4 linked regions of the Danio rerio genome follow. The protein of the gene in region 2 interacts with the protein of the main gene of each other region in a pairwise test. Links are inferred from orthologs where the notes say so. Each region holds a gene or a part of one and is shown on either strand. Other genes may lie near its edges.

Evidence for each region.
Region 1: the proteins of atxn2 (region 2) and atxn1a interact in binary tests that used the Homo sapiens proteins (3 or more experiments, as listed by UniProt). The link is inferred for Danio rerio from reciprocal best matches to the Homo sapiens genes ATXN2 and ATXN1.
Region 3: the proteins of atxn2 (region 2) and rbfox1 interact in binary tests that used the Homo sapiens proteins (3 or more experiments, as listed by UniProt). The link is inferred for Danio rerio from reciprocal best matches to the Homo sapiens genes ATXN2 and RBFOX1.
Region 4: the proteins of atxn2 (region 2) and sh3gl2a interact in binary tests that used the Homo sapiens proteins (3 or more experiments, as listed by UniProt). The link is inferred for Danio rerio from reciprocal best matches to the Homo sapiens genes ATXN2 and SH3GL2.

Annotation. Positions count from the first base shown.
Region 1 is NC_133194.1:34,914,507-34,922,803, reverse strand, and holds part of atxn1a (ataxin-1a), read right to left. Parts: intron 4,276-8,297; 5' UTR 3,964-4,275; coding exon 2,179-3,963; intron 1-2,178. UniProt on the Homo sapiens protein: Chromatin-binding factor that repress Notch signaling in the absence of Notch intracellular domain by acting as a CBF1 corepressor. Binds to the HEY promoter and might assist, along with NCOR2, RBPJ-mediated repression. Binds RNA in vitro.
Region 2 is NC_133180.1:42,586,169-42,594,465, forward strand, and holds part of atxn2 (ataxin-2), read right to left. Parts: 5' UTR 8,010-8,297; coding exon 7,891-8,009; intron 6,014-7,890; coding exon 5,980-6,013; intron 5,263-5,979; coding exon 5,203-5,262; intron 5,094-5,202; coding exon 5,022-5,093; intron 4,890-5,021; coding exon 4,739-4,889; intron 1-4,738. UniProt on the Homo sapiens protein: Involved in EGFR trafficking, acting as negative regulator of endocytic EGFR internalization at the plasma membrane.
Region 3 is NC_133178.1:26,726,585-26,734,405, forward strand, and holds the end of rbfox1 (RNA binding protein fox-1 homolog 1), read right to left. Parts: intron 7,593-7,821; coding exon 7,517-7,592; intron 3,127-7,516; coding exon of another isoform or gene 3,032-3,126; intron 2,613-3,031; coding exon 2,490-2,612; 3' UTR 2,488-2,489; downstream 1-2,487. UniProt on the Homo sapiens protein: RNA-binding protein that regulates alternative splicing events by binding to 5'-UGCAUGU-3' elements. Regulates alternative splicing of tissue-specific exons and of differentially spliced exons during erythropoiesis.
Region 4 is NC_133176.1:28,417,268-28,426,170, forward strand, and holds the start of sh3gl2a (SH3 domain containing GRB2 like 2a, endophilin A1), read right to left. Parts: upstream 5,179-8,903; 5' UTR 5,077-5,178; coding exon 5,032-5,076; intron 1-5,031. UniProt on the Homo sapiens protein: Implicated in synaptic vesicle endocytosis. May recruit other proteins to membranes with high curvature. Required for BDNF-dependent dendrite outgrowth.

The sequences.
Region 1 (8,297 bases), on a different chromosome or scaffold from region 2:
TCAGTGCCTCTCGAAATGACAGACTTTAGAACTGCTTTCGAGTGGGTGGCCCCATCTCAACTCCCAGACAAATGAAGCAGATTTTTCATACAGCCCACTCACAGTACAACAGAAGGAAGCAGAAATAAGGAATGACTCAATTCTGCCAGTGAATCCCACACAAACTAAACAAAGATGCCATGGGGACAGCCAGGGGAGGGATTATGGAACAGGGAGATGATTTCAGCTGCCAATTTGCCCCACATCTACTTACACTGATTGAGTGCAGGTGGAGTTCATATAAGGGGACATTCACACTCTCACAGCATATAAAAATATAAACTTAATGACTACCATATGCTTATTCAAAGCGAGATGATGAAGTTGCACGGAAGATGTAAAGTAAAAAAAAAAAGATCCCTGGGCAATTGCAAATGCTGTAAAGATTTTTAACTGACAATTGTTAAACATGAAATTAAATTACCCATCTTTGGAATCCATCTGCATATTATGAAACCGTCATAATATTTGGCCAATTTGCCAAGATATTTCAACTGTAATCACACCTCATAAAATGGCATGATTCAAATAACTGCAATTTGGATTCTAATGTAAATGATATACTTCAAATATGCACTGTATATAATTAAAGGTGCAGTAGGTGATCTGCCAAAACGATAACCCCTTAGCATATTATATTGGGACGGCGGGGAGGGACTGTGATTCAAAGCTACACCCCCTGAAATCGCGAGCGCGCGCACCGCGTTACAACAGCAGACAGACAACCCACTAGTTCATGTAATTCGCCAGTTAGTCAGTGCCAGTGCTGTGCGGGAATTACATTTATTACTTAGCCACACTTACATGCTATTTCAGACAGATTATTCAGAGTAGCATGGTAAACAGTATAGGAAGGCTGTCATTGTTCAAAAATGACCCAATGTGAATATAAAAGCAACTTCAGCTCAATAAAGTAGGCTAGGCAAAATAGCGCTATTTACTGATGTTTTCTTGTTAAACTAAACATAAATCTACATCAGTGGTCACCAAACTTGTTCCTGGAGGGCCGGTGTCCTGCAGATTTTTGTTCCAATCCTAATCAAACACACCTGAACAAGCTAATCAAGGTCTTACTTGGTATACTTGAAACATCCAGGCTGGTGCGTTGAGGCAAGTTGGAGCAAAACCCTGCAGGGACACCGGCCCTCCAGGACCGAGATTGGTGACCCCTGATCTACATCATCGATGCTGTAAAAGGACCTTATGAAACTGAAAATAATCACATCAATCTTTCACCGGGAGATTTCAGGGTCTGAACAACACGTCTGTGCATATAAGTCATTCATAGCAGAACACAATCTAACATAAGCTTAGCCTGACTAAAATAGTTTTAAAACAGAACATTACATGTCTAACAGTAATACTTCAGCCATGATGTCGTCCTTCCACCAGCCTGCTAAAGTAACTCCAATATTGATTCAGGTTTTTAAAAGTTTCAATTAAGCATTTGATTTCTACCGGTCCGTCTCGTGACCGCGCGGCCGCTTATGCAGACGGGCACGTCCTAATGGCGGATCTGCGTGAACAGATGCGCAGAAGTCCGAATCTACATTTGCTGACAGACAGTCTGACCTGCTTATCGGAATTATGGGAGATGTCGGTCTGACTCTATTTAATTGGATGAACATTTTTTAGTTTTATGCCTTAACCAGAATATAAAAATACATATAAACACATTTAGATTATTTACTGTAATCATTACTATTGGACTGTAAAGAGACTTTCAACCAGTACAACAAAAAGTGTTTCTGAAGACAATCACCTACTGCACCTTTAATAACAAACAGTTATGGAATGTTCATATAAACATTAAAAAAACTCGTTAAAAATGCTAATTTCAGAGATGGCAAGAAACAAACGGAAGTTATGGTTCATAAAGATTGGCAATATATAATATATGGAGGACAATATAATTGCTGTACACACACCTAAAACTTAGGCAAAGGTCAACTCCATTAGATTTTTTTTTTAATAATAAACCCTTTACTACCACGTGCAGACATGGTACACAGTGTTTGATTAATATCACATAGTCATCAATCTCAAGTTTATTTCCCCGCTTATCTTTGTGCATAAGAAAAACAGATACTCAGATGTGTCTACAAGCAGCAATGTTAAATAGAAAACTTATGAACCCACCTGTGAGCGTTGCGCTCCTACAGCAAACTGTATTATAGCAAAGTTAGCTGTATGACTGCTGTCGATGCGCTCTACAGTGCTGGAATCAATCTTCAGCTCGTTGCTAATCTCAGCACTCTGAATGAAATCCTCTGTTTTCAGGTCTTCCACCCGCTTCAGTTCCCCATCTGCCAATTGGATGATGGAGCCCTTGGTGAAGTAGGGTGGCATTGAAGGAGCTGAGGGTGGGGGTGGAGTTGTCAGCAGGCCAGCAGGTGCTGGAACCACAGGCAAATGCAACTGGGCTTGAACCATAGCTGTGGCAGGGTGGGGGTATGGAGCCGGAGATTCAAAAGTTTCCACTTTGGGGGCTGTTGAGGTGACGAAAGCATGGGGCAGTGCAGCAGTTGATGTAGCGGTAGCTTCAGTTCCACTTACTGGGATGATGACCGGCTGAGTTCCAGGGATGACCAAGTGCTGGGGTAAGGTGGTGTGGTAGCTGAGAGGCTGCTGGTGCCCTGTGCCGGCAAAGTAACCAATGATAGGCTGCTGGGTGGAGTAGAAATTAGTGGAGGGGAGGCTTAGAGAGAGTGACTCTGTGCTGTTAAGTGTGGTCTGAATGACTGCATGAGGAGACTGCGCTGGAACTGCTCCCTTAAGATTGTCCACAGGTGGAGGGGGAAGAGCAAATGAAAGGGAGGAAGATAAGGAGGAACTGCGGGAGACAGGTTTGCCAGCACAAATCCCTCCTTTTTCATGGTGGGATGTCGAGGGAGGCAGCTTGTCTGATGCACCTCCAGAATCAGCACTAGTGGAGCTATGATTATTAGGTACCAGCACCAATGAGGTCCTCATGGCTGTGCTGTCCTGCGTGTACTCGGCAGGTAGCACAACATGTCGAGCTTCAAAGTGACGTGGGCTCTGCTGCTGGTGGATCTGGTGCTGCTGGGCAGAGGAACCCCCTTTGGCAGTGCTGCCCTGCTTCCCTGCACTGGACTCAGAAGATGGACCAAAACGTCTGTCCTTCTCCAGCTCTCCATTCAGCAACTCCCTGGTCCTCATCTCCTCCCTCTTGGGTAAAAGACTTTCTGTGTATGGGACTAAGACCTGTGAAGGGCCACTAAGGGGAAGTGTGTGGTGAGGATGTAAATGTAGGGGCAAGTGTGTATGCGGTGACGAAACAGTTCGAGGGGATATGCTTAGTGGAGAACCAGCAATTTGAACATATTGAGTGGAGTGAGGTGAAGAGGTGTTGTCAGTTGTGACCAGGCCTTGAGGACGGCCCAATTGGTGGTGCTGATCAATTTTGGATGCTGGAGAACTGGAGGAGCTGGCATAAATCTCACGTTGTGTGGTAGTGGTGGCAGCTAAAGGGGGAGCTAGTGGAGAGATGTAGCCAGCGTATGGTGCAGAGTAAGGAGGGTTGATGAAGTGTATATTGTGAGGGAGGGGTGTGTACTGGATTGCGCTAGGAGAATGGGAGAGAGGTGATGTGTACACTGCAGGTATGGTGGTCACTGCAGATAGAGCTCTGGTTGAGTGTGTGGACGAGGAAGGTGTGCTCTCAGCCGTGGCTGACAATGGTTTATATTGAGGCCCATCTGATTCTGCAGACGTGCTGGTGTGCAGCCGGCCTTTGTCATGCCCACTGGCCAGACTGGCAAGCCAAGCCAGGTTCCCTCCACGCTGGCTCTCATTGGCAGGCGCCATCACCATGGGCTTCTCCTCTGAGGGCAGAGTGCTTGCTGGGATTTCACGCTTCTTTGGGGGCAGGCATTCATTGCTCCGCTCCTGGTTTGACTTCATGGTGTCTGAAAATCTTGAACCACTCTTTCCGGATTTTTCTTTCCCCTTTTTTGGCTCTTTTCCTCTCCCTCCTGGTCTCCGTTTGTCTTGCTAACAGAGTGTGCCCTCCTACTGATTGGCTTGGAGCGAGTATGGGAATGGGGTAGAGAGGAGAGTGGTGGTGAGAGGGGATGTGTCCTGTGCCTATGGTCGGATTGACACAGATTTCAGTCTTAAGCAATTGAAGTCACACCTGCTGCGGGAGAGCGGTCCATGCAATTCATGTGGAATCATTTCCTTCCGAGAGAGAGTCTCCAGGACTGCAGGAAGAACCTGAAATATAATAAAGAAACATAATCAGGTTTAATGCACAAACATAATTTCAGCAGCTTTTAGATGATAAAGCCATGTAAACTGAAGAAAATGAGAAACCAAAAAATGAAGGCTGTAAATATTTTGTGCATCAGGATTTATTTCTATGCCACAGTGGTGCTGAATGGACAAATAGCTTGCAGTCGTTTACAGAGGACTATCTTAACAGCAGCTCAACAAATATTTATTGTAAAATAACATGCCTCAACAAACTGATAAATGCATAAGTATATTAGGAAAGTTAGAACTGTCTCTCTATATTGGATGTTAAGTTAAAAATTGTCCATCAAATAAGAAAGCTAGCACAGTTTCTTTTTCCTCTTCCTCCTACTCTAGATTGTATGGGGAGACACGTGACAAAACAATGATGCTGTGCAGTGTTACGGCTTGTTTGACATTCCTCCCTGAGCTCTATTGATTGGACCCATTCAGCTGCGTCTGTTGTCCAGCACTAGTGGGAGGATGGTTTTGCATGATAAACAGGCCCAGATGATTTAACAAGTGTCGCAGTGCTATAAAAGAGGAGGCAGATACCGATGTAAGCGAAACCCTCCCTTTAATTTGGACACTACTAAAAATAGCATAAAGTACCACCAAACAGTACTACCTAATTTTTTGGACATGTACCATGGTACTGAGACTTATGCAAGTATCTTTGTATTACTATATGATGCCAAGACTGTACTACAACTGTTTGGACATGTTAAAACAATGCTTCTTTAGACATGGTACTATTATAATATTCTTTGAAGTAGCGTATGTACCACAAGGAAATAATATATATATACTAACACTAAAAGGAAATACTAATACATAGTAGAGGTTGTGTTTAGGTTCACAAAGGTAATACCATCTCTTAAAGTAGACACAGCAGTCCTTAGCTGAATACAAACAGCAGGAGAATGTCCTCTGTGTTTGCTCTTAAGTCAAAGTAGAGTAGAATGGTTACACAACGACTGAACATCAGTGATTGACGGCTATTGATGCTGAGCAGGGTGTTTATTCTCAGCACTCTCTCAATCAGTGTTTCCTGCTTCTTTTTCCACTTTTCACCCCTACTATCTTATTCCTTCCCTTTGGCTCATATATCTTTTCATCTCTCTATGCACCAACCCCCAACCTCTCTTCTAAGTATTTTCCTTTTGCCATAATTTGCATCAGACAAGGGCAATCAAGCATGTTAATAACCCAATTATCATAATCATTTTAATTAATGATTTAAGTAATCGTGCATGGTTGATGACAATATTACACAGATGGCTTTAGAACTTACTATAAAGGCATTTCGAGAGGTTTTAAGCTTGAATGCTTGCGGTGATGTATGCTTCCCATGAATCAAAGCGCACTCTCTACATCAGAATATGCTTATTTCTGAGCTACATGTACTGAAATATGCAAAAAGCATACATTTAAACGAGTATGAATGAAAACCTAGAGAACAGGAGAAGGACACAAGAGAAGTCAGTAGCATCTCTGTATGGGTATGACTGAATATTGAGTGAATAAAGCATTTATATAGTGCAGGGGTCACTAAACCAGCACTACCTTCTTGCAGATTTCAGTTGCAACCATGATCTAACAAACCTATCTGCTTCAGGTCATAATTAATTGGTTCAGGTGTGTTTGATCCAGGGTTGAAGCTAAAATCTGTAGAAAGGTAGCTCTCCAGGAACAGGGTTGGTAACCCCTGATATAGTGTTTTATATAGTGTGACCCAAAGCCCTTTACAGAGCGCTCAGGGGATCTCTTCTCAACCAAAACCTTGATGACCAATGGCAGCAATGGCAACAATGCAGTCACCACACACCAGCTATAGAGAGAAGGTGATAGAGATGAAGGGAATTTTGTCCAGGATTACTCTTTTACAAGAAGTGGCAATAGATTTTGGGATCCTTATGGAGCATTAGGATCCACATTGACAACAGAGTAAACACCCTTTTGCTGGCCTCAATAAACTATAGTTCAAATGAAATCAAATAATTTCAAACAAAATCCGGTCGCAGTAAAGTTGAGTTTATTTTAGCAGTTTAAAACAGCTCACCAAAACAAACATTTGGGGGAGTTCATTTTGCCTCCTGAACACCCTTTGAGCTACCATTGGTCCAAGGCGTTTCCACATTCGGTGGGTGTGTTCTAGAACCACACCTTATTTGGCATGTGACTTCTTTCCTCGATATGTTTCTCATTCTTCAGGGGTCAGACAGGAGGACACAGTACAAAATAACAACACTAGCCTGTACCACCTGCACGACCACTCAGATAGATTTCAATTACTTGGAGGGGGTCATATTAAGTGATATGCCACTCTCATCATGTCAAGTCTTTTGTTTGAGTTTGTGCAAGCACAACTTGATGTCTGTCTGCGGCAAATACAAAACAAATTACAGATGTCACGGTGGTGCTATCTGTAAAGAAGGCTGTTGGCCAGACGTTTATAAAACTGTTCTCTCACAGTCACCATCATTGTGTTTAGGGGTACATGCGAGCAGGTTGACATCTTTAATAATCTTTTATAATGCATTATTTTTGACAGTAAGTACTGTAATGCATTACTTTTTAAATATAGTAACTCCGTTATCATTACAATATGATGCGTTTGTTGGTTACTTGGTAAGTCAATTAATTTTGGCTGCAGTCTAGCCCATATCTGCCTGTTTACAGTGGAGATGCACTGTGGGATTGGTGGATGACAACCAACCACCGTAAAGAAGACGAGTCGTGTATGAGGCACCAGACTGGACAAAAGTCAAGTGCGCACGAGAGAGATCGAGTAGACTATTAGCGTTACTATTATTAATTACTATTACCAATACTACTATGTTTGTAAATAAGGACACATTTGTTATCTGTATAACAAAGTTTTCTAGTTTAGTAGACAGAGTGACATATTTCTGATACATTTTAGAACATGCTATTTAAAATGTATACTGTAGTGTTGTATTGTTCAGAAAAAAATGCAGTGATTTTAAAAATTGTTTTACATATTTTAATCGCTGTTATACAACAGCAGATTTTGCTTTGGATATACACAGATTACGTTGTTGACATACCACGTTTGATTGCTCATTGATTCATTTTTGAGAAGCTGTCATTTTTTTGTTTTGTTTAAAATGCATCAAATCTATGGTTGTCATTAACAGCAGTTTTTTTGGTGCTGAGTTTCACCAAATTGATTCTGAATGATAATTCAGATTACTTTCATTTATTTATTTCATAAAGATTTTGTGTTTGTTGTATATTTTTGCTAGTTTTTATACTCAAGCTGTGAAGGAACATGCTTATGGGTTAAGTACAACAACTTCTGCTTTTTTGTTTCTGAATATATTATTCATCTTATAATATTTTTTATTTTTGTGCTGCTGGTCTGATTTAAATAAATTAATGTTTAAAAAAATACTTCTTTTTTAAGTCTGTCTTGTGTTTTAATTGAGAATAAAAATTAATTAAAACTGTGAAGTTGATTAACAGTCTATGTGATGTTATAAGATATCTGCGTGCTTTCACAGTTTGTGCTAAACAGGGTTGAGTCACAGTCGTTCATAGAAGTTCTACTGATAATTGTTACCTGTCAATTTGATGAACTGAAACCAAGTTTTTTGCAGGGTAATGAGATAGCTTGAAGTATATATATGTATAGTGTTTGCTAAGCACTGAATCTAAGTAGATTCAGTACCTGAATAGAGACGTTCTGGCAATTCCAGTTTGCTGGTAAGATGAGGTGTTAATGCCTCATTATGCTTCAAATAAAGGTCTTTATTTGGAAGCAAAATATGTTCAAAAATGTTAGTGATGTAACATTGTAGTTTATTCGAACACTCCCACACCCATGTGCTGCAGTAGGCAGGTTTGTAAAGACGTCAATCTGCTCGCATGTACTCCTAAACACGATGATGGTGACTGTGGGAGCATTAAAAAAGCATTAATGGGAGCATTAAAAAAGTTCTTTGGAAAAGTAACTCAAAAATGACTTTTAACAGTAATGC
Region 2 (8,297 bases):
GCAACTACTTTGAAAATCATGCAGTCTGAACTCGGCATTAGGCTTGCTTAAACAGACAAAAACACAGATGTTATATGTATTATATTAGCATGTTTTACACGGAAACCCCACCCCTGCTTTCATTTGATTGGAGAATGAAACAGACGCGAGTGACGAAACACGCTTTTTCTGCCCAGAGTTGACTTTTTTCAACTGCATGCGTACAGCGCACAAGAGAAAAAACACAAGGTGCAGCAGGCGGTTAAAACAAGAGGAGCGCAGAGTCCATAAGCAGCGCACAAAACGCTCGCGTTCATTAGTAAACCATTCAAAAAGGCACCTCTAAACGCATAAAGCTCGTTCAGTGTGATCAGCCCCTTAAAGTACCACCTCTGTCATTCAATGTTAATTAAACATGCTTAAAAAAGTATTATTTTTATTTTAATAGGTTGAATTGTTTAATTCGATTGCAGCTTTTTTGTATTTTATTTCTTCCCAAATATTAAAAAGTGATGGTAGCAGAATAGAACAGTAAAAAACAGGAGGATCTAGAGAGAAGCACAAAGGTTAACAAGTATGTTGATATATTTTTTTAAATAAATTACCCAGCATATCAAAATGGTCAGTCAAATACATGGCTTGTTTCAGAATCAAACGCACATATTAAGATCAATCACAAATACATTCGAATTGTTCAAAATCACTTCTGCTAGTTTTATATGAGCTCCAGCTTATGAATGGGTTATGTGGACATTGCAGTCAGTTCAAGAAACTTAATACCTAATGTATTTCTAGAATTTATGAAATACAAACAAGAAAACACTATTTAAATTTTATTATGGATTTAATAAAATGGTCAAGTAAAATTAATAGTCAACAGGATGCCACTGATCAATAAATTACCAAATTCCAATCTACAGACACTGCCCCTAGTGGTAGGCAGCATTTCCGTTGGTGTGTTGCAATCTTCTTTGCTTTTTTAATGTGAATGTGTTGTGATCTTATGTTTGCTTTTCATTATTTTCATTGCAATGTACTCTAACGGGCCACCATTCCAAGGTGTTCTGAAAAGACAATCGCTTCGTTCTTTTGTTTTAGTTTCTATTCACATACACGCACAGATCAGCAAACACAGACGCACCAGGACAAACCTGGTTCTTGTGAAAAGAAATCAAATGTACTACATGGCACAAATGAGTAAGCCTCATCGACTCTCATGCATCAAGTTTTTATATGCATCAATGATTACTTGATTAAAAGCCTAGATTAAAGCTGCAGTGAGTAACTATTAAATCTACGGTATATCACAATGAATACATCTTTAAAACTGAGCGCTATTCTAAATCAGTTTGATGAGCATTTAATAAATGGGCCTAAATGGGACTATTATAAGTCGATACTGCTCAGAAGTAGTTCAGTACCTGACTCATCATAAACATTAAGAGAGAGAAGTACGTCTAGCTTTTTTTCATTAACCACCAGAGCACCAAAGATTACATACTGTAGTGTTAAATCTCCTTATCGTACAAAGCAAGCATGTCTCTTTAGAACATTTGGATTAAAAAGCTCCATTCATAAGGATTTATTATTAAAGGTCTGCATTTTGGTTGAATTCACTTTTAAATAGAGCCACAGAAATCTCTGAAATTTAATTAAACACCTCATGGGTTTTGAACAACATAAGGGAGAGTACATGAAGACAGAAGGCTTGTTTTAGAAGAAACTAACCCTTTACTAACCCTAAAGCATTTTTAAAATGACATTTGGATGTACTACATCTGCCATGTTGTTATAGGTTGTTTTCAACAATGTGGTTCTGGTGACATGTGAAATTCAGATGGAGGCAGGAAGTAAAAAGCTGAATGGGAGACACAGAAGTCCATATTTTTGCGAGTTATCCTATATTTCAAAAGAGAAATTAATAGAAAATAACCACATAAAATAAGGATCATGCCCAACATATGAAGAGGGCTGAGTTTTCTAAAACTAAAATATATTTGCTGTCATCAAGGTACTGTATAAGCTCTAACGTTATATGGAAACAATACTATAGTAAATACTGAAGTGTTTGGAAGCATACTAGATGATTAATTAATTTTGAACTGTTGTAGTAATAATATTGTTACTGTGGTACAACACAACTGTAGAAATAAACTAATTATTGAATAGGTTTCAGTTTTCTATGCTATAATTATACAAGATCACAATGCACCACAGTTTACACTAATGTTACAAAAGTGCTCTACAATAATAACCATCTAGTTTTGTTGCAAGAGTTGCATTTCTTTTTTGTTCTGATGATGAACTTAACCATCAACCAACATTCACTGCTGCTGCGTACTGTATATAGACGTTAACGTTACGGTTGTTTATTCCACCAAATCGCCAGTAAACAAAATGATTATTGCGAAACAAGACGGAGATTTCATCGCAGCAATTTTATAGCAGGGTATGTTATTCATATTCTTCTGGATTTTGCATAAGTGTGGTGGTGTTTGTATCTGATTAACATATTTATACACATGGCTATGCCTGTATAAAATCTTTATTGGTCCTGTCAAAAGAATTATAGCGTTCAAAAAGGTTTGTACACATGGATGTATTGAATGAATGTATATTACATGCCGCCTTTTCTTCCTTTTTTCAGCTAGTATCATGAACTCCCCCCCCCCCCCCCCCCTTTGTGAGCAAAAAAGTCCATAAAAGCTGTCTGACATTTTTTATTTTGGCTGATTTAAACAATGATAAACAACATAAAACAGAAACATTTTGATGTTCTGATGTCAATTCCTATATAGCAGAACCACTTACTGCCCTCCATCTGAATTTCACACATCATCAATGACATCATGTAAAAACACCCTATGTAAAGAACCTGCAAGCCTTGGTTTTGTTGCTTCTCTTTCATTCATTAATCCTCTCCCATGGCAGGACTCGAAATTAACTTTTTTGCTTGGTAGCACCGGTGCTCCTAACTTTAAAAATTTAGGCGCATCAGCCAAAAATTAGTTGCACCCACCAATTATAAGCACCGTTACTACAAGTTTTATATAAACAGATTTATTGCATTTGAAATCAACAGTAATCAAACTAACAAGCAAAAAAACAATTTTATATATATGCAATCGTGAGGAAAATATGTCTCAACGAAATCCCGTTATCACAAGAAAATAGATTTTTATAACGGAACTGAGTGACCAAAGCACGGAGCGCTCACCGGCCCTCCACGCACTGCTTGAATAAATCTGTTAAAGGTATAACAGTGCTGTTCTCACAAGTGCTGTCTGATATTGCACTGATGCTTTTGACACATACTGTACCTTATTATATGCATACATGTTATTAGCAATACCGGTCTTTTCACGATTAGCGATATTAGTTTACTCAGTCCAAGCCCATTTGTGATGGTGTACGTGGTGTTCAATTTGACATATAGCTGCCCCTTGCACGGCGGACAGCATCTGGAGATTATATGAAGAATTAAACAGAAGCTCTTGTGCTAGATGTGGCGAACAGTTACCTGAAAATCCCATCCCACAGACTTTTCATAGCGGACTTGAAGCCAATGGAAGTCTTCTACTCTTGGAAAAGTGTAGATGGTGGATTAACATTCAGCACATGATCACTAGTAAGATGTGTCATTATTTATAACTTTAGATGCCATGGTTTCTAAAACAAAATCTGTCTGTTATCTTCATTCTAATCTTCAGCGCTTTACAATGTTTCGCGGTAGTAGCTCTCTCTGTCATCCCAAGCCAGAAGGCACTGAGTGATTGACAGCTGATATTAACCAATCATTCACATTCAGTGCTAGAGCAGTGGTGGGCCAATAAGAAGAGCGCGAAGGCAGGGCAAGCATTACGTACTTGGCTTTTTTGTTTACTGCAGCAAGTTGACATGACAACTGTTTTAAACCATTCCTGAGCGCTGCGTTTCGCGTTCCAAGTGCAGACAAAGAGCTTAGAGATGCATCCTGCGTGAATGTCTCCTGAATCCGCGCATGTGGTGAACATTTTGCAGTAAAAACTGGTTGCACACAACAATTTTAAGCACTCGCAGAAATGCTCCCAAATATATTTTAAGGTTGCATAGATAAAATTTTGGGCGCATATGCGACCAAAATGGTCGCAATTTCGAACCCTGCATGGTCTCATGGGATGCTAAAATGTCCATAAAAATGCAACCTTCCGAATCTCAGCAGACGTAGCAGGTTATAAGAGTACTTCTCATCTGCTTTATGAATACTATGAATTCTGACATACTATCCAGCTATAACAGAAAGGTGTGCCATTTTAGATGCAGCAAATTTGTCTGAATATTCATAACGTCCATCACAGATTCTAAATGGTATAGATGTTAGACTGAAATAATCACATAAAAATGAAAGAAGATACTGAACTGACCTTTTTAATCAAACAATTCTAAAAAAACCCTGGCCATCATGGGAGTTATAACTAATAGAATTATTTTATTCGATATTGAGTGATAATAGTAAGATAGTCATAGAAAATGAATTGCACGAGAAAAAACGTTCTGTTGTTTGTTCTTATTTATTGGCTAATACAATCCATGGTGTAATGTTAACCCTTCAAAACAATGTAGGCACTAATTGTGATATTAGTGAACTGATCATTTTCCTCCGCAACTTGCAATTAGTATAACACCGTTTAGCTACACTATATCTACATTGTAACTTCACAGAGCTCAAACCTGTAAAACGCCCATTAAAGTAGCAAGAATATTTGACAGAAGGTCTCACCTTTCTTGGCATAGTTGAGGTCCACATCTTTGAAATGAACTACCACTACATCTGAGGACTTGAAGATGATGCTCTCCACAATATCCTCACGGCGAGGGCCCGCATTAGGTTCTACACTCTTCCTGTGTGCAGCATCCAAGACAATGTCACACTGCAAATGAAGAGCCCACGACAATAAAAAAAATGGACATATGTCACCTATGTCCGAACTAGAATTACATTTTTCTTGTGCTTAACAGTGATAGAAATGCTTAACATCAGCAATACAAAGTGGTATCCTTACCTCTGGGCCATATGTTTTAAAAACCCCTTCATAGATCAGGCCATTTTTAACCTTAAGTTCACATTTGGTTCCCTGTTGAGTGGTGAACCAGAAAACGAAATTTCAGTAGGAGTGTATTTGTTGTGCTTTGGTAAAACTGATTAAAAAAAGAATATAATTACAGCTGTGCATTTATACTTACCACAACTGAGGTCAAAACATGAACCATCCTCATGTTTGCATAAACTCCATTGAAGGCCACCTAAAAAAGAACAATCAACAACATTTCTGCCTGAGGTAAAGAGATATACAATTTACAAGTATCTATATTTTAATTGGCTGAGCAGCTTTCAATGTGCTGATACAGTGCTCAGCATATACAAGTACACCCCTCAAAAATCTATCTTTTATGTTCATATTTTAACAGGAAGCTATACAATATTATATTTGTGCCATTAGTCAGTACTGAAGCCAAATCTGGAGTTTATCTAACAAAATAACTTACGATGAAGGCCCAAAAAACTAGTACACCCACATATATCTGTTATAGAAAAATATTAAACAAAAATTTAAAATGAGGAAAAAACAAGAAGCAAAAATTTAAAAATTAAGTTGAAAATTTGTAGGTTGTAATTTTTTTGCTTGATTAAATTCAAGTAAAATATCGGGAAAAAAATACAACCTACAAATTTATTAATTGTATTATTTCTAAATACTCTATACTTCTAAATATGTCTGGTGACTAAAATATAACTTTAATAAATACATCTGTTTAATAAACCTGTTTTGTTTAAATGCACCAAACTACATTGCCTATATTTACTGAGAAATGGATAAAAATATTTATTTTCGAAACGGGGTGTACTCAATTAAGCTGAGCACTGTATATATGATTCAACAGGGAATATAAATTTGTATGCGAATCAATTTAATAAATTTACACTATGAATAAATGAAAAAAAGAAAAGCCGAAACTCACTGCAGTAGAGGGTCCTTTGGCATTGTTGCGTCCTCTGTTGGGAGGAGAGAAAACAGCATGACTGAGAAGTTTTATAACAGTTGAACTATAACCATATGCATACACAGAAAATCTTTGACATGCTGTACACACGGTTTAAAGAGCAAAAAAAGTCACACACTCCTACGAACACAAATTCAAGTGATTCCAGTAGGGTTATCGATTGCACATGTACTGGCAAACACTCAAAGCTGTAATGACAAAGGAGTGACAAATAATCATATGCTTCATGCAATTCATTGTGCAAAGAAGCACTTATGTAGTTCCCAAACAACAGACTCTAAAAAGAAAATCTGCATTTTACTGACAGTACGTGACTCATATCCACTAACAGCCATATACCTCAAACATATGACAGATTCTGAATTGTAAAGCTTTCAATGTGTTGGACAAAATTTCAACAAGATCTCTAATGTGCAGCAAAATAAGTTCAGTGCTCAAAGATTAGGCAAAAACTATCAGCATCTAGTACATTAAAATACATTAGTAAGATAAAAGCTGTGAATGACAATTATTTTTCAACAGCCAGGCTGCAAATCAAGTGCTGCATTACAGGCAGTGAAAGGCTCCACTGCACCACTCAAGATTCCCACAATCTTGTACAAGTCATATCACTCTTGTTGTTTTGCGTAAACAATAATCACATTTTCCCCATGCAGTGTGCAACTATGTGATGCCAATTCTCAGCTGTTAGATTAAAAGTTTCCACTGTTAATTTCTTCATTCATGACAGCTCAACACAAACCACGACAATAACATTCGTCTGTCACACCTCTACACAACATACTTACTCAAACGTCATTATGCAAGGACAGACTTATGCATGCAACCTCTTGTAAACGTCAAGGTTGAGAGTGCAGCTCTCTGACTTTCCACTCTACTAAGCGCTTGTCCTCGTGAGCGCGCGCGCCGCCCCTCATCGGAAATGCACGCGACTGACAGATAGTTCCAACATGAAGGATCAATCGAAAAGTAACGGGAAACACGCAGATTCGACCTAGTGGCCCTCAGCTAACGGAATTCAAGAAATCTAAATCGGACGCTGAGTTAATGTCATTGTCAATAGTCAAACAGAGAGCTAACATGTGACATCTCATAATGGATGATGAATTCCCAAAACATCGATTCAGGGGCACCTCAGAAGAGGTTACAAATCAGCTGACGGGAAGATAAAAGCATAAAACTAGGTAACGTTATCTGTAGCAAACAACCCTTTTTTGTTTGGACTGACACAAATCAGAAGCAATTGGTAAAACGTTGTAGAAAAACTATGATCTCTCGATTACATAATGACCAAAAACCTGAATGATGTTAATCTACAAAACATACTTTAAATCCTGTTAAATTAGACAGATTTCTGACAGTATGAGCAGATAAATGTTTGCTACAGTAGTTAGCAGGCTAACACTTGCTTCTATACCCACTGTAACGTTATGACTCTCAGATTATTTCTTTGTAAGTGACTAAAATGTCAAACACGTTCAATCCTATAACAGATTCCGACACGATACAAAAGCATCTGTCCTGGGAAAAGCTGGCACAGCCATATCCCACCGGCAAAGACGCACAATTCATCCTGAACGTGACCAGCACCCACAGCAGACAACCCGCCCCTCTCGAAATATACACGAACATGTTGTCCGCTATCAGCTGTTATTTTATAACCGCAGTAGTTTGCGTCCATTAACCTGTGAATCCCTGTCCTGTGAACTTGGCCTATATCGGCCTACTTGCGCTCTATCCTGATCACTGCAACTCCACAACCTGCGTTTTTAAACTACGACACTAGTGCAGGCATGCCGCATTCCCGTGTTGGTTCACGCTCGTCGGTCCATCCGAATTAAAAGCCTGTTATGCAGATTGGTCACCCACCTGCCCATGTTCTGGCGTCCGACGCCTCCTCCTGCTCCCCCGGTACCGGAGGCCGCAGCGGCTCCGCTGTTGCTTCCGCCGGGTTTGCGATTACCACCGGCCTGCGGCTTCATGGACATGATGATCCCATAAACGACAGCTTGAGCAGAGTTGTCTGACTGTTTGGAAAAAAAACGTTTGATGCCGCGGACGAGAGCGGAAAATGCTATTTGACGTGTTAGCTGACAGTTGATCTAGTGACAGCCAACGTGTAAAACTGCTCCTCCAGTTACTCGAGTCTCCACTGACGCTGCCTGCTACTTCAGCTAGCTCTGCTGATTAATTCCTCCTAAACAGAGACAATTCAGCCCGTTTTAAAAGCAAAGCGCGGACGACCCATATGTTTTAGATGTCTACAAAAATACCAA
Region 3 (7,821 bases), on a different chromosome or scaffold from region 2:
GGGGGATAATAATTCAGGGGGGCAAATCATTTTGACTTTAACTGTAAGAAAAATGTTGCAACAGTTGCGTTTGCTTGCATACTGTAGTAAAAATTTTAAATGACTTTTAGCGACGTTTCACTTTGAAAGTGAAGCAAACGTGCAGGAAGCAGCCTAATATAATTTTAGCAAAAATGTCACCACATCTTTCATGAGCCCAGGCTGAAAATAAGCCCATATTTCTTTTCTTTTATATGTGGAAATATTTGCAGGATCTGAGATCTTTCATATCCCAGATAGCGAGTGGGATAACCTAATCACGCCGCCGGAATCGGATCTTTCTCCTTCATCCTAAACACAGAGTCTTCTTAAAGGCACACAGATGACCACCTCAGACCTGGCAGCATCAATTCCACTTAACCTCCTCGGAGATGATCATTTCCCCTTCGCCTTGAGCATCGCAATGCAATTTCAGGCAATGAAATCAGATCAGAGGACAAACGCTCTCCGTCATCTGAATACAAGAAAGTTCCGAGAGCCGTTCCCGTTATCTTGAGAAACTTTATTGATGGTTATTGTTATGCAGATCATAGTGCATGCACATACAATGACAAGGAGAAAGCCTGTCCACAACACGTACTTAAAGCAGAAAGAGCAGAATCACAGCAGTGGGTAAGATATTTTTGCCAAGTTGTGTGATGTGACGCACACAGTACACAAGAGGATATTTTGCAGCCGGATAAATTGGAGCTGCTCTTTTGTTTGTATTTTTATGCAATCGAAACGTTTTATAAATACAAAATAAAGAAAAATGAGATATGTGACAAACACCTCTAATTAGGTATACTTGTAAACAACATGAAGGGAAGTCTTCGCATATGCACAGCCAAGCTGCGACTCTTCAAGAACACCTCGACAGCTTGCTTGTGTAGCACTTGTAAATGACATAGTTATCATTATTCCTATTTACATATAGATATCTTTTTCACAAGTCATATAGTTCTCAGTTTCTTGATAATCAAACAGTTTCAAAGTGTAAAGGCTGTGTTCTAGAAAATAATAGTACAAAGGATGTCACATTAAAAATGATATCAAAACGAAACACCCGAAGGAAGCAGAGAAAACGAAAGAAAACAGACAAGTGAGGAGGAGGAGGAGAAGGAGGAGAAGAAGTTGTGATGAAAAAATTGCAGGTCGTGTGTGCAAAATTGTACAGTTGACAAAAATACTATGATTATATCTACATAATGATTGCATTACTTGTAAAGTGTTGATATAAATCTGTGTATGATTCCATAAAAAATGAGACACCTTTCTCTAACAGTTGGTCTACCACACTAAATCTAAAACATTATACAGTTGTGTTTGTCGTATAAGAGAACATTTTCACTGCACAGATCAAATTTAATACACTGTTAGTTTATTTTTTCCCACTCTCAGCTTGTACAAATAAACTCTTGAGAAAAAAAAAAAAACTAAACAAAACAAAAGGTAAAAGAAACTAAATTAAAATAGAACCGGCGCTATGGTCGGCGTCTTTTTTTCTTTTTTCGTTTTTTTTTTTTTCGTCGTGTTTTGTCTCTCCCGTATTATAAAAGTCAGCATTTATATCAATCGACGTACTGGAAGTACCGTAATATATAAAAAGAACATCTCGTGGTAGGCCTAAACTAGCGAGGGGTTGGACTTAGGGACTAGATAATAGTTAAACAGTAAAATACTGTTGTGGTGAACTTTTCGGGGAGTTTCTACGAGCTGCTATGTATAGTTGGAATCTACACACGGAACACCCCAGGAACATAACCTTTGGCTTTGAGTAATGACTGATATAAGACAGCTTAAATAATCGATACCTCCGTGGTCTCTTTGACCGGCTCTGTGTCTCTGCTGTGCTCCTGCAACTACACTGACCTTTTACCACGCAGACGCCCGTATCTACTCGTACCCACCATCCCCTGCGTGCTCGTCCTCTACGCCACAGAACCCAAAAACAACTGAAACCAAAAGAACAAAACAAAGACGTAAAGGCAATGTCAACGAAAGCAGAAACCACTGGACGACTCTAGTCACTTACACTCTTACAAAATATGATAACCCCAAAGTGACTCGTATATTTATCATACAGAACTCATTTACATGATAAAGCCCTAACAATTTGTATCTTATTATTCTTTTTTTTTTCTTCTTCGTCTTTTTAAAATCTAGCAGCTCTCTAGATCACCACAGAAACCTCTACAGCCAACAATCTATGTAATCTTTAGAAATTAAAAACCCACAATATTAAAATACACAGCACAAAATATCTGAGGTATAAGATGAAAAATATCCGTTTTTGTCTTCTCTCTCTTGAGAGATGCTAAAATGATGCACTACTGCATGTATTGCAATACCCAGGCCTCTGAATTACTCCTCCTTTACCCCCACAGGAAGATTCTCAATAGGTTTTGAAATGTTTATTTTTTTTTGTCTGTTTTTATTATGATTTTTTGTAATGCATTTTTTGTTTGCTTTTAATATGGCGCGAAACGACTGTATCCACCTCGGTATATACTAGCCTGCAAAGAAGAAAGAACGAGACCCACATCATCGGCGTGGCTTCTGGTCTTGGCATCAGTCAAGGGTGCGAAAGCATTCTGCAAGAGAAGCCACGGGTTTGGACATGTTTAATTGACACAGCTCAGATGAGACCTATGCTAGCATTCAGACTGTTTGCTGTACATACTGTACCCCGCGGACGAAAACCAATCACGTTCCATCATGCAGCAAGCACACCGACACAGCTCATGCCAGAACAGATGCATTTAGCTACTTAAAAAAAAAAAACGCAAAAGGGCTGAAAGAAATGTACATGAGTTAACAGAGCAAATAATAATAATAAAAAAAGAAAAAGTCATGGATGCAGGGAGATCCGAATAATGGTCAGATTTTCCAGTAAATATCCTTAAAACAAGATAATTATATAACATTTAAATAACAAAAGATAAATATGAGAAAAAATGACGTTGTGGTCACATTAGTGAAATCTTGATAAATTTTGCTGTTGAAACTGTACCTTTCGGCTGCATTTACACTGCATGATTCAAGTGACCCAATTCCGAATTTTTCTCCCGTGTGGCACAGATCGGATATGGCCCATGTATGTGTAAGCTGGAAAAAAATCGAATGGAGTCTGATTTACTCAAATCAGATTCAGGCCTTGTTCATATGTGGAAATTTATCTGATCAGATCCGTGCCCTCGTGTCTGTAGTGTAAACAAGTAGATCGGATTTTCACCTATCAATTCGAGTCGCAAATCGTGCGTCATTAAAAACCATATCGAATGATGTCAGCTGTGATGCTCGGAACAGACTTCAGTAGAGTCCCAAACCTTACTTTTCATATACTAGAACAAAAAATAAGCATTTATATTGTTAAATAGCACAGATCATTGATTATTGCTTTTAATTGCTAAATGTTTCTTTTATATTCTGTTTTCTTCTCTGTCTTTAGTACTCCTATGTACAGCACTTTGGTCAACCTTGGTTGTTTTTAAATGTGCTTTATAAATACATATTGTATTGTATAACAACAAAAGATTTACAGTATACATAAAACAGAATACAGTCTCTACCGACTAGTTAATTTTTAAACAATAAGGGAACTATGAATTAATTATATAACAAATGCATGAGAGAAATAAGGGGAAAGGAGAGAGAAATATAAACATAAAAATGAATAGGCCTATTAAATACAAAACAATAAGCACAAATTCTAGAACTTTAAACATCACTCTTTAGGCTAATACTTTTTGTTTGAATATGCTAAAAATGGGTTTACATTTATTTACCTTTGCTTCCTTGTCCTCATTTGTAAGTCGCTTTGGATAAAAGCGTCTGCTAAATGACTAAATGTAAATGTAGATATAAAACTTTCCATTATATATTTGTGTAAAACTCAAAACAAGGTGTTTTGATTACGTCTTAAACAATGATTAAAATAATTTTGGATAATGAAAGCATTTAAAAAAATAAAATAAGTGAGCTCAAAATAAGTGAGCAACTCTTTAAACAGAAAAAGCAAGGTACCTCAATGTCACCTTTAAAATTTGTGCGTAAACGGCTTGACAGCAAATAAAATATTTTATAACCATATAGGATAAATATTCTTATAATTATTAAATAAAATAGTTCTTTACCTTAATTTGTTAAGAAAGCCTTAGGGTTTTGAGATTAATTATAATAATTATTTTATTAAAAGTATGTAAAACTTATTTAAGTTAATATTTAGGTTATTCACTGCAATTTATAATTTAAATTCTTCATGGAGCTGAATGCTCTATAAAGTCTGGAGTCATGGAGCTATAGTCTGTATAAAAAAGACAGAAAATAAACCTATGCAAACAATCCAGCCTTTATAAACTAATTATTTAACAAAAGATTATTACTCTAGTCAAATATTAGTTGTCATTTAATAAGCATGATACATATACAAGATAGAGATGGCATAAAAAGTGAAAAGAAGTTGTCTAATAATAAACCCGATACACACATGGTTGTTGTTATGCGCTGAACTCAGCCAATAGTGTAATATCAGTGTCGTCATCACAGCTCCTGCAGTTGCTCTTCTAACGTTGCACCGACTGAATTAATTGTCTGATCTCATGCACCACTTTAAGACAGATTTTGATCGGTCTGCGCAGAGATGCAAGAAATTGAACGCACCTTAAAACTATTGCATCACATGCATAAATCACGCCATGGACATTACATTAAGATGCCTAGTGGTTTAAAAAGGCCTAGATTAAAAGAAGATGGATAACAATGAGAACTATAGTAAAACAACTAACAGATTACAGATTAAACACATGAATGGAGAAAAGGGTGCTCTTTTATTATCAGCCGTCAGTCAGTGTCCCTTCTTTTTTTTCTGGTCATTGCATCTTGTCATTGCGTGCAGTGTAAATGCAGACAATCAGATTCGAGTAACTTTTAAATGATGATGTAAGCGGCTCATCAAAAAAAATGGATACAGCCACAAAATCGGAATTGACCATAAAGATCTGCAGTTTAAGCGCAGCCTTCAAGAGCTTGAGTATGTTATTTATTTATTTTCATTTGCTAACTGAGTATAGGAGTCAATTTCATATTAAATTAAATTTACAGAAGTGATTTTACAAACACAGAAAAAGCTAATTAAACTCAAGTAAAGGGTCTACTTTAATGTTTCTAATAACTTGTAAAATATGTTAAAATATGGGTGCAATAAAGTTGCGAAATCATTTAGCATACACATTCATGCATTCATTTTTCTTTGGCTTAGTCCAGGGGTCTCAAACTCAAATCGGCGGGGGCGGGGGGCCATGTCAGTGACTGACAATTCACAGGAGGGCCGTTTTAACATTCTAGCACAGAAAAAAAGTGGAAACCTGATGTAACTGATGCACTCAGAAATTCTTCCACAGAGTGTCAAAGCTCCTTCTTTTTGTTTCTTGTTGTACATATTGAAGGGGTAGTTTAAATTGATATGGAAAACATACAATTTAATAATAGGCATAATAATAATTATTATTATGTCAAAATCAATTTTTGCTTGAGCAAAAGTTTAACATGTAGTGTGAAACAGCTAAATGCAGTTTGGGTAACTTTATTGACTGTACTAGCAACTGCTCTTCTCAATATCATTATTTTTTGTAAAACCACAACAAAGATGGGAAAAGTATGTATTTATTCACATTTACTTTAACATGTTCAATTTCGCCAGCAGTAAAATTTATTAATGCACTTTTTTTTAATTCAAATCTTAATATGCGAATCAAGACAATCTATTAAATGAGACCATTTGAATCGATTATTAGCAAAATTATCATATTCACACCACCAGCATAGCGTGTAAGCCATGAAGAAGTGTTTGTACAACAAAATACAGGTGCTATAAAATGGATTATAATCAAATGGCCCTTGAATATTTACAAAAATATAGCTTTAGTAAAAATAGAGCACTTACAGACATATATTACAACATTTAAATCAGCCCCAGAAATAATCTGCATGTGATTTACTCTCAACCGCACACCGACAGAAACCGAATGTAACCCAAATATATAGTACAGTACCTTAAATGTCCAGTAGGTGGTTGGTCAAAACCACAAGTGTATATGCAACTGCACAGATAGTGATTCAAAAATATAAGTTTTGTTAGGCCGAAACTCTTTATATTTCTGTCAGTTGCGGGGCGGAGGGAGGAGGAAGGGGGCTGCAAAGGACCCGCGGGCCGGCAGTTTGAGACCCCTGGCATTGTCACTTATTTATCAGGAGTTGCCCCAAGGGAAATGAACCACCAGCTATTCCAGGATACGTTTTTTGCCCTTCCAGCCACATCACAGTACTGTAAAACACCCATAAACTCTCGCATTCACACACACTATGTCCAGTTTTGTTTACCCAATTCACTTACGTATAGCGCATGTTTTTGGACTTTGGGGGAAACTGAAGCACCTAGAGGAAATCCACGCGAACATGAGGAGAACATGCAAACTCCACACAGAAATGTCAAATGGTCCAGCCACGACTACAACCTGTCTTTCTGTGAGGTGACAGTGCTAACCACTGAGCCTCCGTGCCATCCCGCATTCATATTCATACACAAAAACATCCATATTCTGAGCTGGTTTGTTCTTGTTTTCTTTCAATACTTCTTCAAATGACTGATCTTCTAAATAAGTGACCATATGGGTGTTTACCAGTACTGTAAGGGGCTGAAAGGGCATCCGCTTTGTAAAACATATGCTGGATAAGTTGGCGGTTCATTCCCTGTAATGACCCATGATAAATAAAGGGACTAAGCTGAAGGAAAATGAATGAATGAATATGAGACTTATTAGATTTATATAAACTATACATGTTTGACCACACTTTTGAAGAATAAACTAACAAACTAATCAAATATAATCTAAAATAATTACAATTATAATAAAAAACAAGCTTTTTTACAGAAAAACTAGACAAAATAGTCAAATTGATCTTTACAAAATGCATTTTGTACACAAAGTGGACATTTCTGTGATCAAACACACACAAGTGGCAAGTCGCAATGGGCAACCGGAGACTTTCATCACGCCGTCTTTCCTCAAACTCGCTCCCTCTTTTAGCTGTTGCTACAGCACCACTTAGGTGATGGATTTAATTATCAAAATGACTAATTATTCCATTAAGGGGAGCGCTCGGCTAGGTGATATTCACAAAATTAGAAATATAATAACTAACATGCACTACACTGCCAAGAAATTAAGACATTTATCACGTTTACTGGGAGGATTAATGTGGCATTTCAGCTGCCGTTAGCACAAGAGACAAATTCAATTAAGTTTAAGTGAGGAGATGTCAGCAGTGCTAAAATCCATGCAGGAGGAAAAGGTGGGAAGAAAAGGGAAAAGAATGAGCGTACATGACAAGCGTGCACCGAGAAAAGAGCGGGGAAGGGATAAATAAAGGAGTAATGAGGAAAGAGCGAGGGGAAAAAAAAGAAAGAAAGGAGGTAGAGAAATAAATGTGTGCTCACCATGGCACCAACGCTGTATGTGGCTGCTGGAGCAAGTGCGTGGTTGTAGGGGTCGGCAGCATAAACTCGTCCGTAACTGTGGAGAAATAAAGAGATGGTCAGGTTATGGTGGTACGGTGAAAAACGCTCCTTGTACTGTATGTACAAACACAAATATCATACAATCATCTATACGACACCACAGACTGAAGCAACTACATATGGTGATGATTTGAGAGTGTTTGGAGAATGACAATCAGATGACAAGTCAGAGGAGAAAATCACACGGCTCTTGCAGTCATGCCGCACAGTTTAGAGGAAGACAT
Region 4 (8,903 bases), on a different chromosome or scaffold from region 2:
AGATACTTAAAGGCCAAACAGTAAATTAAACCATATTAGATAACATTTTACTTTAAGGTGTCCTTGTTAAACGTTCTATGTACTTACTATGGTAATTACAACGAATTATACATAATTGTATGCAATTACAATTAAATCTGCATTCTAACTCTAATCATATAGTGAGTACATGTAGTTGTTTTTACTCAGTACTTGAATTAAAGGGGTGGTCCACTACAATACCATATTTTAAACTTTATTTCATGTGTAATGTAGCTGTGTGAACATAAACAACATCTCTGAATGTAAGACACTCAAAGTTCAATGCAAAGAGAGACCTTGGCTTTTACAGAGTTAGCTTAGCATAGCCTACAGCGAACAAAGTTTGGGGACTACAAAATATACATCCGACTTATTGATGTCATAAACCCTACTGGTTACGTGCATACACCTCGCGCATACACTTCGTACAGTGAAGGGGCTTGGCCAGATGTGCTGTACAAATTAGCACAATACAGTAGCTACAATCCTGCCCAAATGCTGCTATTTCAACAGAGCTTTTCTATTTCTGTATTTGGACTTCCAAAGGACAAGACACAAAGAAAGAAGTGCTTACAGTTAAATTCTTATTATATTTCAGAGTATTAAAAAAATATTTAGCTGGCATTTCACAAAGGACAGCTTCCAAAATCTCTCCTAGTTCAGTGCTGGACTCCTGTATTGTGAGCCACAATTTGTAAGTATTTTGATTTGTTAAAAATGACTAGTGCTAACAGTATGTTGTAGCAAGAACATAAAAACGCATGTAAACAATGGGAAATTCTATTTGGCAACAATTTAGCTACAAATTCATATTTATCAGTCAAACCCATGTAAACATCCACAATCTTCATCAGCGCTGTAGTGTCTCTCTATGTGGCCGCGTTCCCTACATTCTACATTTCAAATAATGAACTCACAAAAGACAAGTGAATGTTTCATATTAATTACACATGCTTATTCCGAATATATGTAAAAGACATGTAACGTTGAGTAAGATGATAAAATACAGGATAGTTTGCCTAACTCGTGTTCTATCAGAAAAAGCTCATCCATCAAAGCTCAAAGGGAGGGGTCACATTCCACATCTTGCGTTTTATTCTTCTGTTAAAAGCGTCACTGTATATTACAGAAAAATAACTTAATTCAAGCATCAAAGGGAAAAAAAAAAAATTTAAAACGGCCCCGTTCTCATGTTACATGAGTCTACAGACTGTTTACACACACACACACACACACACACACACACACACACACACACACACACACACACACACACACACACACACACACACACACACACACAAACACACACACACACAAACACACACACACACACAAAATAGAAATTCTCTATTAAAGGAGCCACCCCCTGTTTTCACTCATTACAGAGACTCGTCAAATGTTATTTTAGAGAGCTGGCATGAAGTTCATCCTTTTAATTTTTTGTCTGATTAAGGCTCAAACAAATACTTTTAACCACTACTCCTACTCAGACACTATTAACACAACAGAATCAAAGCGCGTGCTTGTGGAGGCGTGATGATTTACTGATGACATGGAGCCTATCTGTGAATTACAGGCATATTATGTTAGATGACCAATCAGAGCCTCTTGAGGGCTGGACTTTCAGAGGAACTAGGTAATATGACAGTCATTTTCATGTTAGCTGAGTACCTGTATATAATCAAAGTAAGATATTTGAAAAAATAACGTGATTTTTTACAAATTGAACATGAGCACACATTGCTTTGCATCTTATAAACAAAACCAATCCTTAGTTAAACTCTTAAAATAAGGTTTAACCAAGTATTTGTTAATCAGTAGTTGCTGTGCTATATGTGAAAAATCAGCCATTCACATGAAAGTGGGTGTCTCTGCATCACCATTTATCGATATCAACTTTTTCATGTGAACATGAAATTGAAAATCTTTCACCATTCTCTCTTATACTGCATGTTGAGAATAAAAATAAAAAGTCTTCTAAAAAGACTAAAAAAATTATATTTATGTTCTGTTTGTACTAAAATTGAACATGAGAACATGCAAAATTTGAAATAATTAATTCTAACACTGACTCTGCATAGACTTAAATCCTGTAGGTGCTGGAGATTAGAACAAAACAAATGAGCTGGTTCCAGGAAAGAACAAACTACTGCTTATCACCAAAGTAGGCTTAGGAAATCATTTAAAGATAGTAGGCTTATGATATAAAGTTAATGAGCTTATAAAATTTGAATATTCTATGTTTTGGTGTTGCAACAATAGATAGAGTTAGTTAACCGTTAACACATCGTTTGTTATAATTACTATATTTATAGCCAAATAATATAAGTTAGTATATGGGTGAAAGCACTTTAAAACTAACAAATGTCTACTTCCCTATTCTCTACCAAACTGTGCAGGGCCTTTCTCTCTCAGAGGCTTTTGCCCCTCTGCCATCTGGAACTAAATCTGCCATCTGAGGTAAATCAGCTGGAACAAATGTTTTACCCATTTTGAGCACTGCTGCATTTTCTGAACCGGAGCCATCTCCTCCTGAGGCCAGATAGGGGCTGATCACCAGTTACCTGCACTAGGCACTGTACTATTAACTAGCTTGCCAGTGCATGTTTTTTTCAGTGACTATGTACTCACCTTACAACAGGCTCACCTATTTAACACTACAAAAGGCATTCCATCCTGAAAGTACTATTTTAGGAGGGTGTATAATCTGCTCTCTACAATTTGAAATAGTCTTCATTTCTGTGAAGATGGACAATAGACAGCTCACAATTTGATTAGCATTTAAAAACTTAGCATTTTACTGATAACTTAGCATTTTACTTAGCATTTTTGATAAGCATTTTACTGATAATCTTGAACATACTGTTCAAGTGCAGGAAGCGATGTGCTAAAACACACAACAATAAAACAATATATTTTAATATTTGTAAGGGAAAAACATCTCATTCTTTAGGTGGTAAAATGTCCCACTGTTTAGGGTCATTTTAAAAACACTGGCCTGCCAAGTATGTGGTACAGCTGACAAAAACTTCAACAGAAAAATGTGTGCACTGCAGTAAGCAACGTCCAGAATTTGTAATAGGGGAAAGCAGAAAAAAACATCAGCCATGTTTGGGACAGGCGCTGTGATGCATAAATAGTGCCTTACATCAAAGAAACCTAGAGATAGAAGCTAAAGAAATCTCTACATGTCCAAGTACACTACTGCTCACAAATGAAAAAAACAACAACACGAATTTGTGACACTGTGATCAACCATTTCAAAACACCCAATGGTAAAAAAAATCAAGAAAGATGTTCTCTGATTGCATAATTTTCATCTATTACATGTAATAAAACAGAAATGACATTTTCTGTACATAGGCTCAAAATAAATTCATAGTTGATGAAAACAGAATGTGTGTGTGTGTGTGTGGTCTTTGTGTATACTCAAATAAAAATCACTTTCATAAGACACTTACAAAATCTCTGCATAATTACATACAGCCAAACAGAATAGTCAAAGACAGTTTTCATGAAATCTCACCTCAGTTTTGTGCAACAAATCACAATTGGCTAAAAAGCCAGATGGTGTGAACTAAAGTGTTAGAGTGCTGGAAATGCTTTGTTTTTTTGTTTGTCATTTTAAAACTAAGTGCTCATGAACAAAATACCTTATAAACAAATGCTTGTTGTCTCTCATGGCCTATTCAGGTACACAATTTGAATATAATCTGAATGCTATAGTTTTTGTTTTTATTTTTATTACATTTTATTTTGTTTGGTTAGTAATGGGCAAACCTATGGTTCAAATACAAGCAAGTATTTACTATGCAATTAAATTTCCAAGAATAAATAATGGAGGTAAAACTAGTTAAACCTGCCTCTGCATTTCACAGAGCAGGCACTATATTTTGTCACGACTGCAAGAAGGCTGTGTATAAAGTACACAGCAAGCTGTGAGATGGAGCAGTGTGTTTGAGGAACCATCTGTTCTACAGAGCAGCTCTGAGTCATGCCACCCTCTCCACTCTGCAGCGTGCACTGATGATGTCACAGCCTGACGATTGGTCAGAATGAGACAGATTATGTTGTTTAATGTCAGGCAGCTATGCAAGTCAAAGAATTTCATGTTAAGAACAATGTAAAGGGATGCTGGAGTCATGTTTTTCCGCGTTTGAGATTGTATACTTCAAAATGGCACAATTTAAATCCCAAATTATGTCTACACAAAATTACAGTGAGACATGCATCTCTCATTCCTCTATTAATGCAAGGTGAATCTTTAAACAAGGACACTAGATGGAGAACCAAGAGTAATGCAGCCTCACAAGGTAACCAGAGATTAAATCTAGTTTTATGTCCACTGACACAAACATACAGAAATTTACACATACACAGAAAATAATGATAATAGTTGAAATTAAAATTCAACCAGATTTAGGGGGCTAATATGAAAAAAAATAAAAATAAAATAAAATATATATATATATATATATATATATATATATATATATATATATATATATATATATATATATATATATATATATAAAATGGCAAAAATTCCAATTCCATAAAATTGGACCTAAAGCCTATATGTGGTGGCTTTGGCATCGTGGATTTAAAGTGTCACAGCATCACGACTGCTTTAGAGGGCATCGAGGTCAATTTAAGGATATGAGCTATTATGTAACAGCCCTTATCTACGCATCTTAAAATATTGATGTTCACGCGTTTTCATTTCAACGGTGCTGATAAGAGCACGGAAAAAAAACACAGAACATCCTTCATCCTAACATCTGAACGAAATGCTTTGACAGCGACTAGCCCGATGGCAACATATAGTGCCTTCATTTGTTTATATTACGGTGCGTTGAATAAAGCACACGCTGTTCAGAGTGAAGAGCCGCATTACGATTCAGGACACAAGCTGTTCTGTCTGCTGTAGCACTGCAGCAAACCCATTTTCAGGCTCGTAATGGTCAACAGAACAGAATGCTGAATTCATGTACCGTTGCATCTTACCTGAGTGGCTTTGTGGAATTGTTTCTTCAGTCCCGCTACAGACATGGTTCCGATTGGACTAGTGCTATTCTTCTAACCCCTGGATGAGATGTAAATATGTTCAGAGATACGGGGATGAGAGACGTTCAGAAATAAACCCTCGTACACTGGGAATCACCACACGAGTAGGCTGATTATAGCAGCTGATGATGACGAGGCTGTGACATCACGCGTCAGGTTCCGCCTCCCCACGGATTACAGCTGAGCCCCTCCTCCAGGGGAACCTTCAAGGTTAATTCAAAAAGGCGTTACGCCAACAGGTACATTCAAGACAGGTCAGGGGAGAAACCGTACCGTATATATATATATATATATATATATATATATATATATATATATATATATATATAATAATCAATACTAATAATAATATTAAGAAGAAGAAAAATGGCAGACAGGGGGACTCTAGGGAACACTGAAATTTTGTCGTAAAAAATGCTCTCTCTCTATAGTGGGGATGTGATTTAATATATTTAGATTGTCAGCCAACACTTTCTGGATCAGGTGGTTGGATGGTCCTAAAGCTATCTGGTAACACTTTATAATAGGGTTTCAATAGTTTAAGTTAGTTTATGTGTTTACTATCATAAACAATATGCTTATCACAGTATTTATCTTTGTTAACATTAGTTACTTTAAATAAAGGTAGATCACAGTGCATTAACTAATGGTAATAAGCACAGCTTTGGATTTTAATAATGCATTTGTAAATTATGAAAATGCTGATTATTAATAAATGCTGTACATGTTTTGTTCATTCATGTTTGTAAACACGTGAACTAAAATTAACTAATGGAAACTTTTTGTAAAGTGTGTCCAGATATCCCAGTGTCATAAACCTGTTGCCTTGCTGTAATAGGCATAGGCATTGCAGCCAACATCTGCACACAAAGATTCCAAGAAATCAGCAACATCAACCTTCATAAAAGATTAAAATTACTTATCATTCTTAAACAGGAATGTACAGTAACCACCAGTGTTACATTAAGACAACATGTACAACATGTACAATTTGTAACATTATAAAACAGTACAATTTAATCAATTATATAATACAGTGGTTAAAAATGTGTCTCACAAAGTACTCCCATCTCTGCAAATTTTGCATGACTACCTGTTAAAAGACCAGACAGAACTTTTTAGTTGCTTATTAGAAAAAATAGGGACCAGTTTTGTGAAACACTGCTATGACATCTTATGTATTTCAAGTTTATGTTATCTATCAGCAGTTAATATTACCTATTTGCATAATATTAAAATTGTCATTCTGCCCTTGTAGTGCTCATCCACAGCAGTCTGTCATAAGGAACAGCTCAGACAGCAAACTTGCAGCTGGATTGACAGAGGTCAGGTATCCACTTCGGCCATTTCATTTAGCTGATCCAGGTGGTTTAAGGCAGTCAGTTGAAATGCTCTGCAAGCTTCTACCTATGTCAGGGCAAAAGTATTTTCCATGGACTCCAGAATCTAGAATGGCTCATTATACATCAGTTTCAGCAGATGTCTCTGTGCATCATGTCAAACTGTACCTGGGAAAAAATGTAGCAGGAAACTCAAGCCTTCACTCTTACATAAATAAAAAAAGGTTATTTATAGTCGTTTATGTAGAATAAAACAATGGGTCACACTTTATTTTAAAGAGCTCCTATTTTATCCTATTTGATGTAGGAGAAGTCTATGTTATGTTTCAGCTTAAAATAAACATCAGATCATATATTATACTCTGCTAAAAATGTCAATATTGCGATCAGAGAAAAGTGTGAATATAAAAAAAATGGAATAAATACATTTTTATCATACTGCTGGCTATATTCACACACTGTTGCTGCAAACTGTGCTCAAACCCTTTATAAAATGGATTTTTGCACAATAGGTCCCATTTAAATGAAAATGAGCTGGTTCTCCTTGCCCATCGTTCCACCATACCTGTCTGTTTCTCCTGTGTCACATCAGATAAACAGCACAGTGACAAAGACAGACACAAATGAAGCAGAGACACAGTTAAAAGTCCTAGTTAAAATATCACAGTAAGAGTCAACCAGGACATTTTCCAATGATTATTTGATGTATTTGTTGTGGAGTTTTTTCAAGCCTTTCTGCAATGATCCACAATTTGCAATCCACAAACACACACACACACACACACACACACACACACACACGCACACACACACACACACATAGATATATACACTAGATATCGCATAGGGACCCTCAGCATGCGTCAATAGCGCCGCCACATTGGTACAGTGCTCCCAGGACATATGTCATTCAACCGCACTAGTCAAGACAGTGTTATTACGTGAAGATGCGGGACTTTAGCGCTGTCTACGGGTGTAGTAACGAGCAAACAAAGAAAACAAAGCACAAAGGCAGAACATTTCATAGGTAATATTACGTTTTTTTCTGTTTTTGAATGTTCTGAACTTTTGTGCTAATCAGGTAACGTTATTGATGATGACAGCCACTTACTGCATTCACCATACGGCAAAGCAGCTCCAACTCGCACTAAACACTCGGCTTATGGTAGTTTTTTTGAAAATAATATTTTGTTTAAAATCAGCAAACAATGCAAAAGAAATATGAAGAGATGCTGCGCTGCCAGAAACTTGTTTTATTGTCGGCTAACGTTAGTGAAAGAGTCGTTCGGGGGATTCATTCACAAACGAATCGCTCTCTCCGTCAGTACGAGAAGTGAAAGCAGGAGAGGAGCTGTATTTCAGGACACGGATTATATTAAATTTAACAGGGAGGGTGAATAGTACATTTCTGTACACACAAACACAAGCTTTTTGTCAGGAATGCCCGTGCGGTCACTGATCCATCAATGTAGAAAAGTGATGTAAAATTATAATTTTTCGTAGTTAGAAAAAAAAATTACACACTAACATCCAGAAAAACTCCCGATCATAGATATATGTGTATATCTCTGGCTTTGGATGGCCACAGTCCTCCACTGTACCTTGGTCCCGCATTCATTTCAAAGGAGCGCTACCCTGTAGCAAGATGGCGGCGCTATCGACGCATTCCGTCCAATAGATAACAATAGGCCAGGCGACATCTAGTGTATATATCTATGACACACACACACACACACACACACACACACACACACACACACACACACACACACACACATTTAAGTTTGCACTGTTTTTGCATGTCTACTTGCAGCAAATGTGGCAGGATACAAGTTAATGTGCATTGTTGAATGGATGTCCATTATGCTATTGTACAAAATAAACCTGATTTAATGTCCACAATCGCTAAGCCCCGCCCTTCTTAGTTACTGTTGCTACGCCTGTCAAGCTTTCGTGCCTGTCATGTCTATTACAGTATGTATGCTCGGGTGTCAGACATTGCCAGAAATATAATTAGTAATTTTTGGTGAAGAGGTGAGATATCTGAGAAAGCCAGACAAAAAAGGACTGCAGTATGCATTACAGGGGGACATTCATGACAAAATAGGCAACCGATTAGAGAATAATTGAATCAAAATTGAAGTTAGGTTAGCCTAGCTACCTCATACGTTGACCATTCAACAGCTTAGTTCATGCACAGCAGGATAGGTGACATTTAAAAATAATCTAGTAATAACTATTTAAACCGTTATTTCCCCCTTTTTTTTTAGCCAAAAAGCCTGATAGACTTTTGTTGTGCAATGAAATATAGCATTACAAACCAGCGAGGAAACACGCATGGACAGTGCTTGTACATCATTTATAGAAAAGGGCAGAAAGGGGAAATTTGATGGATTTGTGCCGAATATTTGACCCATAACAATGTACAATACCTATAACTGTCAGTATGTTTGTTTGCTCTTTATATAGTTT